3 linked regions of the Oryzias latipes genome follow. The protein of the gene in region 2 interacts with the protein of the main gene of each other region in a pairwise test. Links are inferred from orthologs where the notes say so. Each region holds a gene or a part of one and is shown on either strand. Other genes may lie near its edges.

What was found.
Region 1: the proteins of eif4enif1 (region 2) and efhc1 interact in binary tests that used the Homo sapiens proteins (3 or more experiments, as listed by UniProt). The two-hybrid records come from large-scale screens. The link is inferred for Oryzias latipes from reciprocal best matches to the Homo sapiens genes EIF4ENIF1 and EFHC1.
Region 3: the proteins of eif4enif1 (region 2) and eif4e2 interact in binary tests that used the Homo sapiens proteins (3 or more experiments, as listed by UniProt). The two-hybrid records come from large-scale screens. The link is inferred for Oryzias latipes from reciprocal best matches to the Homo sapiens genes EIF4ENIF1 and EIF4E2.

The regions. Positions count from the first base shown.
Region 1 is NC_019882.2:6,991,350-6,995,565, forward strand, and holds the start of efhc1 (EF-hand domain-containing protein 1), read right to left. Parts: upstream 2,801-4,216; 5' UTR 2,635-2,800; coding exon 2,569-2,634; intron 2,220-2,568; exon of another isoform or gene 1,950-2,219; intron 1,628-1,949; coding exon 1,376-1,627; intron 1,294-1,375; coding exon 1,009-1,293; intron 900-1,008; coding exon 750-899; intron 476-749; coding exon 295-475; intron 182-294; coding exon 1-181. UniProt on the Homo sapiens protein: Microtubule inner protein (MIP) part of the dynein-decorated doublet microtubules (DMTs) in cilia axoneme, which is required for motile cilia beating.
Region 2 is NC_019863.2:605,618-609,117, forward strand, and holds part of eif4enif1 (eukaryotic translation initiation factor 4E transporter), read right to left. Parts: intron 2,175-3,500; coding exon 2,038-2,174; intron 1,148-2,037; coding exon 1,069-1,147; intron 993-1,068; coding exon 872-992; intron 792-871; coding exon 474-791; intron 381-473; coding exon 237-380; intron 157-236; coding exon 1-156. UniProt on the Homo sapiens protein: EIF4E-binding protein that regulates translation and stability of mRNAs in processing bodies (P-bodies). Plays a key role in P-bodies to coordinate the storage of translationally inactive mRNAs in the cytoplasm and prevent their degradation.
Region 3 is NC_019875.2:23,172,750-23,176,972, forward strand, and holds the start of eif4e2 (eukaryotic translation initiation factor 4E type 2), read left to right. Parts: upstream 1-1,423; 5' UTR 1,424-1,452; coding exon of another isoform or gene 1,453-1,472; 5' UTR 1,473-1,546; coding exon 1,547-1,569; intron 1,570-1,726; exon of another isoform or gene 1,727-1,842; intron 1,843-2,203; coding exon 2,204-2,315; intron 2,316-2,401; coding exon 2,402-2,536; intron 2,537-2,643; coding exon 2,644-2,748; intron 2,749-2,837; coding exon 2,838-2,990; intron 2,991-3,342; coding exon 3,343-3,479; coding exon of another isoform or gene 3,480-3,483; intron 3,484-4,223. Other genes in the region: capn10 (calpain-10), read left to right, coding at 1-28, 268-297. UniProt on the Homo sapiens protein: Recognizes and binds the 7-methylguanosine-containing mRNA cap during an early step in the initiation. Acts as a repressor of translation initiation.

The sequences.
Region 1 (4,216 bases), on a different chromosome or scaffold from region 2:
GGTTTCATTTCCATGTCTGGGTGGTTCTCCTTGTAATACTTTTTGGTGAAGTCGTCACAGTCGCACAGCAAGAAGGAACGGGCGAGTAGTGTAACCGTTTGGCCTAGCTGAAAGTCTTTGGGGGAGTAGTACTCATCTACATCTAGGTGAGAGATCTCCATCACACAGGTGGGGAACGTTTCTGCAACAAGAACACAACTACAGAAGTCCTGTCCAAGTGACGGGTTCCATTTATAATCAGTTTGAGCATTTCTGTGAGGCGATTGAAATATAATGGTGGAAAAACGTCTTTACCTGATTTCATTTTTTTGGGTATTTTCACTCTGCGCATCACAACAGGGAAATGGTTCTGTCTTCTGCCTTTGTAGACCACCTCTCTGATCTCCACAGTATCGTCAACGAGGAAATAGTGGATGGTAACCGGCAAAGTGTACTGACGGTTCACATCCTCCCCCAGAGCAGAGAAACTGAGCACCTAAAATAGACAACAAGACGAGAACAGGACTGGTGGTTAATAGTTTTTATTTCTAACTTTAAACTGAGAGTGTATGTGGAGAGTATACATTTTTAAAAATCTGTTTTTTTCTACTAGAAAATGTAAGAATATGAAAACAAAAATACTAATTATATGGAACAGTGTTTCTCCTTTCTTACTGGGTAAAAGTACATTTTTAAGTTATTTATAGTTATTCTAAGTGTCATTGTTATTGCAATGCAACATCTGAGCAGATAATATGGATATTCTCTACCTTTCCATCCATGGTGAGAAACTGGTGCAGCTTGTCAGTTGTGGAAGGCTGAGTGTGAGGCTGTGGTGAGCCTTTGCGTTTTTTGATATAAGGATCTTCCGGTGTTGGCTCTGGTTCGTTCAAAATGATCCCTTCACTTTCCATAAACTCCTGTGTGAATGAGAGAAGAAAAGCAAGCAGGAAAAGAAACAGAAATCTACAAATGAAAATGGCTGGACACACAAAAGGAGAAGAAGTCTTAATCAGAAGAGTAGTGTACCTTTGTAAAGTCATCACACTGTGTGATGTGGTATGTGAAGCCATACACCTTCAGATCCATACCAATGTTGAGGTCTTTCCACAGGTAATACTCTCCGTGGTCATTCTTTGGTATTTTCTGCCGTTTGAGCCTCTTTCCGTGTTCGAACCCGGAGTTTTCCTCTTTGGGCTCCACAATGGTCATAGTGTCGTCCTCCAGGTGATAATAGATGACCACTGGACACACACGGTATTCTTCAGAGGAATTCAAGAATTCCTCTTTAAAGAATGCCTTGAAGCACAGCACCTTAAAAAAAAGCAGGCCGGTGATAGACCATGTGGGGAATTATTTGGAAATAATTAATGCTTTTATCAATTTGAGTTCACACCTTCTTGTCCAGAGCCACATAAACTGGCTTAAAAGGCTCATAGACTTTCCGGTCAGAAGCGCCATACGGATCTTCTCCTGGCATCCCAAAGGAAAGATCACTGAGATGCTGGGCTGTTGTGCTGAGCTGTTCGGACAAATGAAGTTCCTGGCCGATCCCCATGGAGAGGCGCTGAGCCAGAGGATAGCCATTCTTGTAGTCCAGAGTCTGGGGTCGATGAAAGGCGGATTTCTGCGACCGCAAATCATGAAACAACAAGTTGAAGAGAAATAAATGCAAGCTCTGAATAAAAATAAAAACAGAAAACTATTGAAAATATTAGGTTTCTAGGGATTTTTTTATACTTACAAAATATTGTTTTGTTTTATAAACTGCTGACATTATTTCTGTTAAATTGAAAAGCTTCTTTTTTCCTCTATTTAAACATTTGTGTACATAAAATAACAATTGGCAGAAATAACTAGAATGTGCAGAGTTTTCATACCTTAATTAGAAAGAAATAGGCTTATTTAACTTTAAAAACACAACAAAAATAATTAAACAAATGTTCACAAAAACATTGGATGAATTTAACCTTTGATAATCCAAGCTTTAATGCATCTCGGCTTCTCCACCAGTTTTCCAATCTGCTTCAAACACTGCTCCTAATAGCCGCCTTTGAGTAATTCTCCTCGCTCCAGCAACCATTTCCATTATTTTTATAGCTCTCTTGATGCCTCCCTGCTGTTGCTGAGTGACATTTGAATAAGTAGTCGGCCATCCAGGTCTTTGGGGAGTTGTTTTTGCCCTCTGCCAGTCTCTTGTTTTTCCTCAATGTCTGCTGCTTGACCTTGTCACTTTGAGGAAGGGTCTTAGAAATGCTGAAGGATGGAATCTGAACAGTACTGAACCCTTGACATTCTTGCCTCATATCCTTTCTTATAAATACATATACTTTTCCTTGTTAAGTTTAATTTGATTCAAGTAATTAATTCAAGTAACCCAATAATTTATTGAGAAGGATAAAAAAAAAACAATTGAAAACATGACGGTTAGTAAAATAGAGATACTTCTTTCCCAACATAAGCAAATCTGCAAATCACATTTTTAGTGATCTATTGATACTTTTCAAGAAAAAAAAAAAACTATTTTAAATGAGAATTTTTTTTTTTGGAAATTTATATCCTTTTTAAATCCACCATGACGGCTCTTACTGTGTAATCCGGGAATGAATATCCGGGCAGGAATGGCAAACCATAGTTATTCCACGGAGAAGACATTTCTGGTCGGGATTTCTTCGTAACTCTCTAGTCAGGAAAGAAAAAGTTCACAATCGTCGTTTTTAACGACGCAAATAAACAGTTTGTTGGGGCGTTAAACTACAGGGAAGGACGCGCGACTGAAGCTTTGACGGTATCTATGGTAACGACGTCTAGTGTTAGCACTTGTGACGTAGCAGCAGTTTGTTTTAAATAAAGTTTGACAAAAAAAACGTAACTTTGCAAGCATCTTTTGGAAAGCAATTAATACATCTCATCTTTACAGATTGTATATCTTTCTTTTGTGTAATATGTAAATTACATATTCATAAATGTTTATTTTTTATCTGGAAATACGGTAAAAAAAAAAAATTATTTAATTTGTTAAACTACTAACGTCAAGTTCCTAATAGCACCACCAGGGGGCGAGCGAAGCTAAAAAGTCCAGACAGTTTTTGTTTTTTCACATTTACACCTTGGAAATTAAAGACACAAACTCTCTTTTCATTTCTTTCACTGGAACACATTTTCCTTTTGAAGTTTATTTCAAGCGCATAATCCATTTTGGTCATGTGGTAAAAATCACTGACACATTATATTCAAACTAAACCTTTTAGACATCTCTGGTGAGGTGGTTATTTGAATAATCTCTATAAGGAAAATAATATTAATGTGTTAAAATATCTGCTTGAAATTGGAAAAGAATGTACACATCTCTCCAGCAAATAGCATGATTTTGGTGCCGTTTTACCGTTTTTGTAGTGTTGTTTCCTTCAGATGGCAGTGACAAACACAAGCAACGTCCTGCATATTAAATAAAGGCCACTTTTAGACATTGCTTGAAAAGTGATGACCTGAAAATGCATTTTTATAGTAAAAACAGGCAGTTCTCTATTAATTTACATTTATGCCAGAGTAGATAGCAGGTGCTAAACTCGACAGAAGCATTCTGGTTTTGACACAAGCTCCACATCAGCATAGAGACAGTACTTTAAAGGGAACACAAATAGATTACATACATTTGAGATTCCAATTAATAAATAAATGTCCTATAGTTGATCAAAAAAGACTGTTGTAATCATAAACTCGACTTAAAGGGTAGAAAAGCCTCTCCGCTTTGAATTACTTTATCAAAAATAGGATTAAACTATAAAAAGGGAACCTCTTTGAGGTGCTTTACATTATATCTCCTATTCTTGTCTATAAATGCTGACAATGTGATTTCAGTCAACTCCCCCTTTTTCTAAGGAAGAGCCAAACACAGAAACACTAGGATTGCATCCCTGAGGCGCCAGACAACCTTTGCAAAGTATAAAAATATCTCATAATAAAACCTTACTTGAGAAGAAAAATACACAACATCAATGAAACATTAAATATAATAAAATATATTGCATAAGGTGTTCATCTTTTGGTTTTTATAGAGCTCAAGGCAACATCTACTGTGAAAAGATTGTCTTACACTGTCTTATTGTCGAGCGCACTTTGGTAAAAAAAAATGCCCCTCTGTTAAAGTTCACATTTCAATACTGGAGGGTAGTGAGCGTGAAGCTCAGAGTGTCACAGTCTCTTCCAGCTGCCCTGTGTGCTGTAAAACAGACCT
Region 2 (3,500 bases):
CACTGATGACTTTGGCCGGCATGGAAGGCAGCGGTTGGTCGAGGACGTCCGAGCCGAACCATTTAGCAAGACCAAGAGGGGAGCTGCCCCGGTGTCGCTGAACGCCGTTTGTCCATTGAGGCCTGTGGCCATGTGACACTGGGATGCTTGGATGTACTGAAAAGACAAAGCGGGAGAAAAACGGTTTCAGAAAACCTCTGAATACGTTTGAACTGGAACTGTGGCACTGAACTCACTTGGTCTCTGGGATTGAAGCTGTGGGGGCATTACTGCCAGCTGCATTTGAGTGTTGGCTCTGGGAGGTAGAAGCGGATGCCCTGCGGCGCTCACAGGGTACAGTGGCTGTCCAAGAAGTGCAGGTGGCAAGCCTTGAAGTTGGGCTAAGATATTGCAAAAAATCTAGTGATCAAATCAGGCAAAAACTAGATGTACAACAACGGTAATAGTGCCTTACAAACCGCACACATACAAACCTGCTTGCAGAAGTGCAGGTCCCAGCTGCTGGGGCTGGATCCCCTGTTCCAGCATTCGCTGGACCACATTGGGGTGGAGCTGAGGAGGCGGCCGTACCATGGGGACATGGGACAGCAGTGGCACTGGGTAGACCGGACGAGGGAAAGATGAAGGGGGCCCTGGGGGAACCATGTTTACTGTATGGTGGCCACTTGGACTAGGCCTGAGACACTCTTGGCCTTTGTTTTGCAGAGGCTGTGAGGCGGCCTTCATCCCTGCTGATGATGCAACGCTTTCATCCAACGTTTCCAGGAAAGGATTAGGAGAGCTTCTGCTGCCTGGAAAACATAATTTTTATTAGGTTTGATCAATTAATCAGAAAAAAACGTGCGAAATATGAGACTTTAATAGAACTGACCATCTTGTGAGGGTGCAGTTGTCTCCTTTGCATCAGAAGGAAGGGATGCGTCATCTCTGGTTTTCTCCTTGGTTGCATACATTTTGCGAATTACAGAAGTGGGTGTAAATGATGGAGACAACTGCCAAAGAGCAACAGAGCAAGGCATTTAATAAACAGGACACCACATTGACCCCAACAGCAAGGTTCATCCTCACCATGCTAGTGACGGCATTTCCAGGAGAGTTTCTTCCAGCAGGAGGCTGAGGTCCAGGGGAATGGTTCACACGCTGTGGTCTGCCCATCACAAACAACCAAAGTCAGCCAAACCCAAAAACCAAACAAGTCATGTGCTCCACTTTCAGGTTTGTACATTTGTGCCACATTTCAGGGAATTGGATCAATGTTAAAACACTGACAATAAATAAATGATTGAGGCACGCAAGCTGCCAACAATGGAGTAATAAAATACACCAGGACTGCAGGATATGAGCAAAACCTGTGATGTAAATTATTAGTGATCAATACTGCGATGACCATGTGACTTAAGATACACGAACAAATAGAAAAACGATTACATCATTTCTATTTCATTGCAACCGTTTTATTTTAAAGAAAATTCACTTTATTTATGGTCCACTTTGATCACTTTCTTTTTGGCCAATTATTGGTTGAATACTATAAATCATTCAATCACTGTTTTCCTGTTTTTCTTTATTCTAGTATCTTCCTCCATTTTTTGCTGCTTAACTTCTACAATTTTTCATTTATTTCAACCTTTCAAATGTTCAGCTCGTTCAGATTTTTCCAGCTGTGACTTTTGGTCCTTCAAATCCTTGAACTTTTCCAGATATTCCAGGATTTCTGCCTCTATTGAAATAAATGGGGAATCCTTGGTGCAGAAGCTCGCTGGTTCGATACCCGGCTCTGGCATTTAAAAAAAAAGTTTTTTGCCAATTATTACCCTTTAAGTTTCATTTTCATTCAGCAATACACTGTTCAACCCTGCATTTTCTTCTGGATATGCAGCTCTTAGTTTGAAATTAAAATTCCTCAAAAGAATCCGTTTCAATGCATAAACCTTTGCAGGCACAAACAACTCATCATGAAAACTCCTGCCATTAATCACACTTTCACACGTTAACCATTGTCCAGTACTAGTTTAGATAGAAAGAGCAAAATCAAACCTATTCCGAAAAGCCCTGTCCTGGGGCTGCTTGTTGTAAGCTTGCTGGAAGGGTTGGTGAGCATGAAGAGCGAGGTCCTGGTGGAAGGTCAGGGCTTCCAGGTCCACTTGATTCATAGGCATAGACAGTGCTCTAATCTGGACGATACAAACGACAATAAAGCTTTAGACCCCTGTTTGGACAACACACACACACACACAATAAAGGGTCATGCAGGTTTCTAGGAAGACCGTTTGGCATCTTGACCATCATTCATTCATCTTCTTCCGTTTTGTCCCTTTCGGGTTCACGGGGCTGCTGGAGTCTATCCTGGCCACTTGTGGGTGAAGGCAGGGGACACCCTGGACAGGTCTTCAATCACACACACATGCACACACACATGCACACCTAGGGACAATTTAGAGTAACCAATGAACCTTTGAAGCTGGAGTCCCTGGAGAAAACCCACGCATGCACGGGGAGAACATGCCAACTCCACACAGAAACGCCCTCCTTTGATGTTCTGGTTCAGATCCCCCAGCCGGGACTTGAACCAGGAACATTCTTGCTGTGAGACAAGAGCGCTGACCACTGCACCACCAGTGCAGCTTAAACCAGTGCTTTTTTTAACCCCGTGAGCTGTGACAGATGGTCAAGTGTGCTGTCGTCCATTTTGCATCATTGGTGTAACTAACACTTAGGAGGAGATGAGCCGCGTTCAGCCAAACAGGAGTAGGACTGACACAGTAGCTGGGAATGACTGCCAACTGCTCTCATTTTGGAAAAAGTTCAACCCCTTAAAATGTCTCAGCCAATTATTGTTGGAGTCTTAATCATACATGTCAATCCAACCAAAGACACGCGGTGAACATCTTCCTTGTGCTGACATGGCTCATAAAGTCCATCAGTTCCAACAGAAGGTCGTGTTTGGCGGCGTAGCTTCCCACAGGATCTGCTGTCAGATCATGTAAAACTCTAACAATGCTTAGACAGGAGTCTGTCCTGCATCAGCGCTGCCGTTCTCGGACCACATCACCAGTGACTCATTGGGTTAATGCGACAACATCTCCTACTGCTAACCATCATAAGGCCCAATGCACACAAACAAACACTATTATGTTCTCTTTTGAGGTTTGTGTTATTAACAGCCAGAGATTCCAGAGTTCAAGTCTGTGGAAATCAGCTGCTTCCGTTAGAAAGATCAATGTCTGTATTGAAGGACAAATTCTAGCTCAAACTTCAAGCACTATTGAAACAATTAAGCAAAGTTTCAATATTAGCAATAAAAAAAGGAACAGAATTAAGGCTAATTTTTTTCACTAAAATTAAACAAAAACATTTGTTAGAGCCATGTTAAAACTATTAAACTATTATCCAGAGGGATTGGTACATCATGAACACAGACCAGTTTTCTTACATTTTCAGTTTCCTTGTGATTTTTCTGCCAAGGCAGAAAGTGGACATTTGCCAAAAAACACTGATGT
Region 3 (4,223 bases), on a different chromosome or scaffold from region 2:
AGAAAAACTCCAGAGATCCATTCAGGAGGTTGGTCTTTTGATTTGTTTTTATTTAAAGTTAATTTCTGCATCTTTATTGCTGCTATTAATTATTGGTAGTTTTACACAATTTTTAAAACCGATCTACAACTTAGAAGAAAGCATATATGTATTTATACATCATGTAACGGTTATTTTACACAAGCTGCTTGTGTTTTGGATTTTTATAGCCGTCAGAAGATGGCAGCACTGAATAATCCCTTTCTTTCGTTTCTGTTTGAATGGCAGGTCTCTCGCATCTCTGTGATGCAAAGCTAGCTGTGCCAATGGGATGCAGCTCCAGTGAGATCAGATCGCCTCCCTGTGCCTCTTGGCCAGCGATGAAACAACCCAGTCCCGTCACCCAGCCTCGCCACAAAAGCCATGACGTCAGTGTTGGTGCATATATGTATTATGAGTGACTGAGAAGGGAGTCGGAAACACTGCTGACACTCTGCATTTCTGCGCAACAAGGCACTTGTCAGCGATTCTGAAAAGTTTGTTGGTGGGATGGGCTGCTAATGAAGTATGACGGGACCGGCTGGTGTAAACAAACAGCCACTACTGAAGAAGGCCGCCTCTGCTCTTTCTCATTCACTCAGTGCAGCGCCTGCCGGCACAAAACAAAGAGTCCTCTCATGAAGGTCCTCACAGAAACCCAGAGGGCAAGGGGTGAGGGGATGGTCTGGAACAGGAGAGCCAACCGAGCCACACCACGCCATAGCATGCCATACTATCCATAAGCTTTCTGTGCATCCTTCGCCTCGTGTGCTTTTAAAACTCAGACTTCTGTTATAGTCCCATAGCAGAAACCAACACCAATGTCAAGCTGACCCAAAGACACATAGTCTCCAGCTCCTATCCTGTTTCCCAGACTAGGTCCACAGCTCCGCTTGGAGCTGAACAGAGCCAGCGTTTGAAGATGCCGAGAGAACGAGTGACAAGCGAAGGGATGAAAAGGGGAGTGCGGCACATCAGAGAGAGGCAGATCATCTGATGAAGCCGCCAGTTCTCTCTATTGAGGCTGAGCATGTGCAGTGATGTGTGCCTTATGGTAGCCATGTCTGAGTTTCTGCTCAGTCACTGGGGCTGAAAGTGATCAACTGATCAAAATGGTACTATGTTATGTTTGTTTTTTTGTTGTCCGTTTTGTATTTATGATGCATGTTATTAGGTACGGTGCAATAAATAAATGTTAAAACACAAGTTGGATCATTTTACCCTCATGGGGCTTGGGTTAATTCTATCACATACATTTGAATAGAGACCCTGTGAATGTTTGAAGAGAGGTGCCACTGTCACCCTTGACCCCTTCAGCTCATCACCGCGACCAACATACCGCATGCGCGCCCACGTGCTTCTATTGCGCGTCGCCGTTCCTGCGATTTCCAGGAGGCTGTGATCGGATTCCTGACGAGTCTCAGCCAGGACAGAATGAACAACAAATTCGATGCGTGAGTAGCAGCTCTTTTGCGTTAGAACTTCGATCGAAAACGGTTCACTGTCTGGAAACGGGGAATCAAGAATCATGCGTTACGCATTCAACGAAAGGTGTGTCCATTTTATCAGCACGATGCAGTGATAGATCTGTTATTAACCCGCATATCAGCGAAAGTCATACCGGTGTGTACTTTAACTGCATATGGAACAGCAGCATTACATTTATGGGCGTTTATGTTGAGTAGTGTAGCCAGGCTGCTAGCAATAGCTTAGCAAAACGGAAGACGGGTAGGCCTCGAATCCCCGGTGTAGTGGTAGGGCAGAGGCCCGGAGAGGGTGTGTGCAGTCACGGTGTAAACTGTGAACGGGAAGACGGATCAAACGGTGATTTAAAGCAAATGTAGTGTTAGCATATTTACGCTGGTGTATTTGTGTGCATAAATTGATGCCGTTTTTCTGTTAAAATATCCAACATTAAATACAAAGTGAAGAACATTCCAGTTAATCGGCTAGTTTAGCCAACAGCAACCCGGTAATGACTGCATGCTTAAACGAATGGACTTTTTGTTTTTCCTGTTTTTATCCTTTAAGCAGCTTTTATTTTTCATGATGGACTCGAGTTTGGTTTATATCATCATTGTTAGTCATTTAAACACATTGCACCTTTTTAGATTTTCCAGCGAATTAGGGAAGTGAAGATCATTGGATGGATCGTTTTTGAATTTAACTAACTTTTCGTTTCCAGTCTGAAAGACGATGACAGTGGAGATCACGACCAGGACCAAAGCTCACCGAAAGATAGCGAAACGATAAAGATTGAGGACGACGAAAAGGAGCAGAACACAACTAAGAAAAAAGTGAGTTAGGAGATTTCAGTGTTTGCATGATAGAGCGGCCTGAATTCCTGAAGGCACCTACTAGAGCTTCCTCGTTTCTTTTGCAGATGGTGGTTCCAGGAGCAGGAGAGCATCCTCTTCAGTACAACTACACTTTCTGGTACTCCAGGCGCACGCCAGGGCGACCAGCAAGCACCCAGAGCTACGAACAGAACATTAAACAGATCGGCAGCTTTGCCTCGGTTTGTCATCTCTGTGACGCTCTTCACATCTGAGCCAAATGATGCCATTGCTCACTGGCTGTGCTGCAGCAAACTATCACAACCATGAACGCTCTGATCTTTTTCAGGTGGAACAGTTCTGGCGTTTCTATAGTCACATGATCCGGCCTGGCGACCTAACCGGTCACAGTGACTTCCACCTGTTTAAAGAAGGAATTAAGCCCATGTGGGAGGTGTGTACACTTGCTACACGTTTTAATGACCTTTTTAAGGAATGTGTTTGGATACTTTAGTGATGTTTTTGCTTTGAAACTCTGATTAGGATGATGCCAATAAAATGGGCGGGAAGTGGATTATTCGCTTAAGAAAAGGCCTTGCGTCCCGGTGCTGGGAGAACCTGATCCTGGCCATGCTGGGGGAGCAGTTCATGGTGGGAGAGGAAATATGTGGAGCTGTGGTGTCCGTCCGTTTTCAGGTAAAAACTCACACCAGCGAGGCCTAATGCTCTACAACAGCATTTGTACAACAGTGACAGTAAATAAGTGTTTACAGGGCGTAGTTATCTTCTTTTTGTGTTGTTGTTGTTTTTGTTCCACAAAGACAATAATTACTGTAATTGAGTTTTAAATGCTTTTAGTGAAAATGCCTTACCTGCAGTGTTTACATTCTTTTGACTACTGTAACGCAATTAACGTAAATCAGCTGATTCTGTGACGGAGAAAAGCAGCTTTCCGCCATTTTGGAACCCTTTACGTTAGTAACAGCTCCAGTGCCAAAGGGTTAACTATCCAGGCCTCAGATGTGCCATTTTTATTTCTTTCTTTCAGGAGGACATCATTTCCATTTGGAATAAAACCGCCAGTGACCAGGGTACCACCGCCCGCATTAGAGACACCCTGCGCCGAGTCCTCAACCTGCCCCCCAACACAATCATGGAGTACAAGACACACACAGACAGCATTAAGTATGTATGTCTCCTCAGTTTACTATTTTCTCTCCATCTTTTGCTTTAAAAAAAAAAGTCATATTTTGTGATTTGATAAACCTTTTTCACCAGGAACCTGTTGAGAGTGAAATTGTGCACATCAGTTATAGTTTTAATGCTTAGAATAAATTTCTTTAAATCGTGGTGTGATGTCTTGCTGTCATAGAACCATCCTCCTCCCTTAACCCCTCTACACTGAATGTATTTCCAGCTTTTAAAAAAAATCCTAATTTTTTGCCTTCAAATAGATGCTAAATTTAGGTAATTTTGGAGCCAAAGTGGTTTGATGCATCGTTCTCTCAATAGGCATCAAGGGGAATTAGGGCTGCACTATTTAAGGAAAACTCGCAATATTAGTGATCAATATTCTGATTATAATGTAACTAGCGATACATGAACAAATAGCAAAACAACCAATAACACAATATCCTTTTCATTGCAAAAGTTTAATTTAAATAAGAGTCAACATACCTGAAATTAAACTCCAAATGACCCTCGTCTACTTAGGAGGTGAGCCTCTAACATGAAAGGGGTCCATCCGGTTGGTCAACAACGTGAAGGGTTCAATCCGATTGGTCAAATGCATAAAATGATCTATTTGATTGGTTAAATACTTCAAGCTGCCATAAGATTGTTTTAGCACATTTAAGGTAACCATTTTTCGCTATTTTTGCCGTCTTTTGCGATATGATTATTGCACAGCTTGATACTGCGGTAACGTGG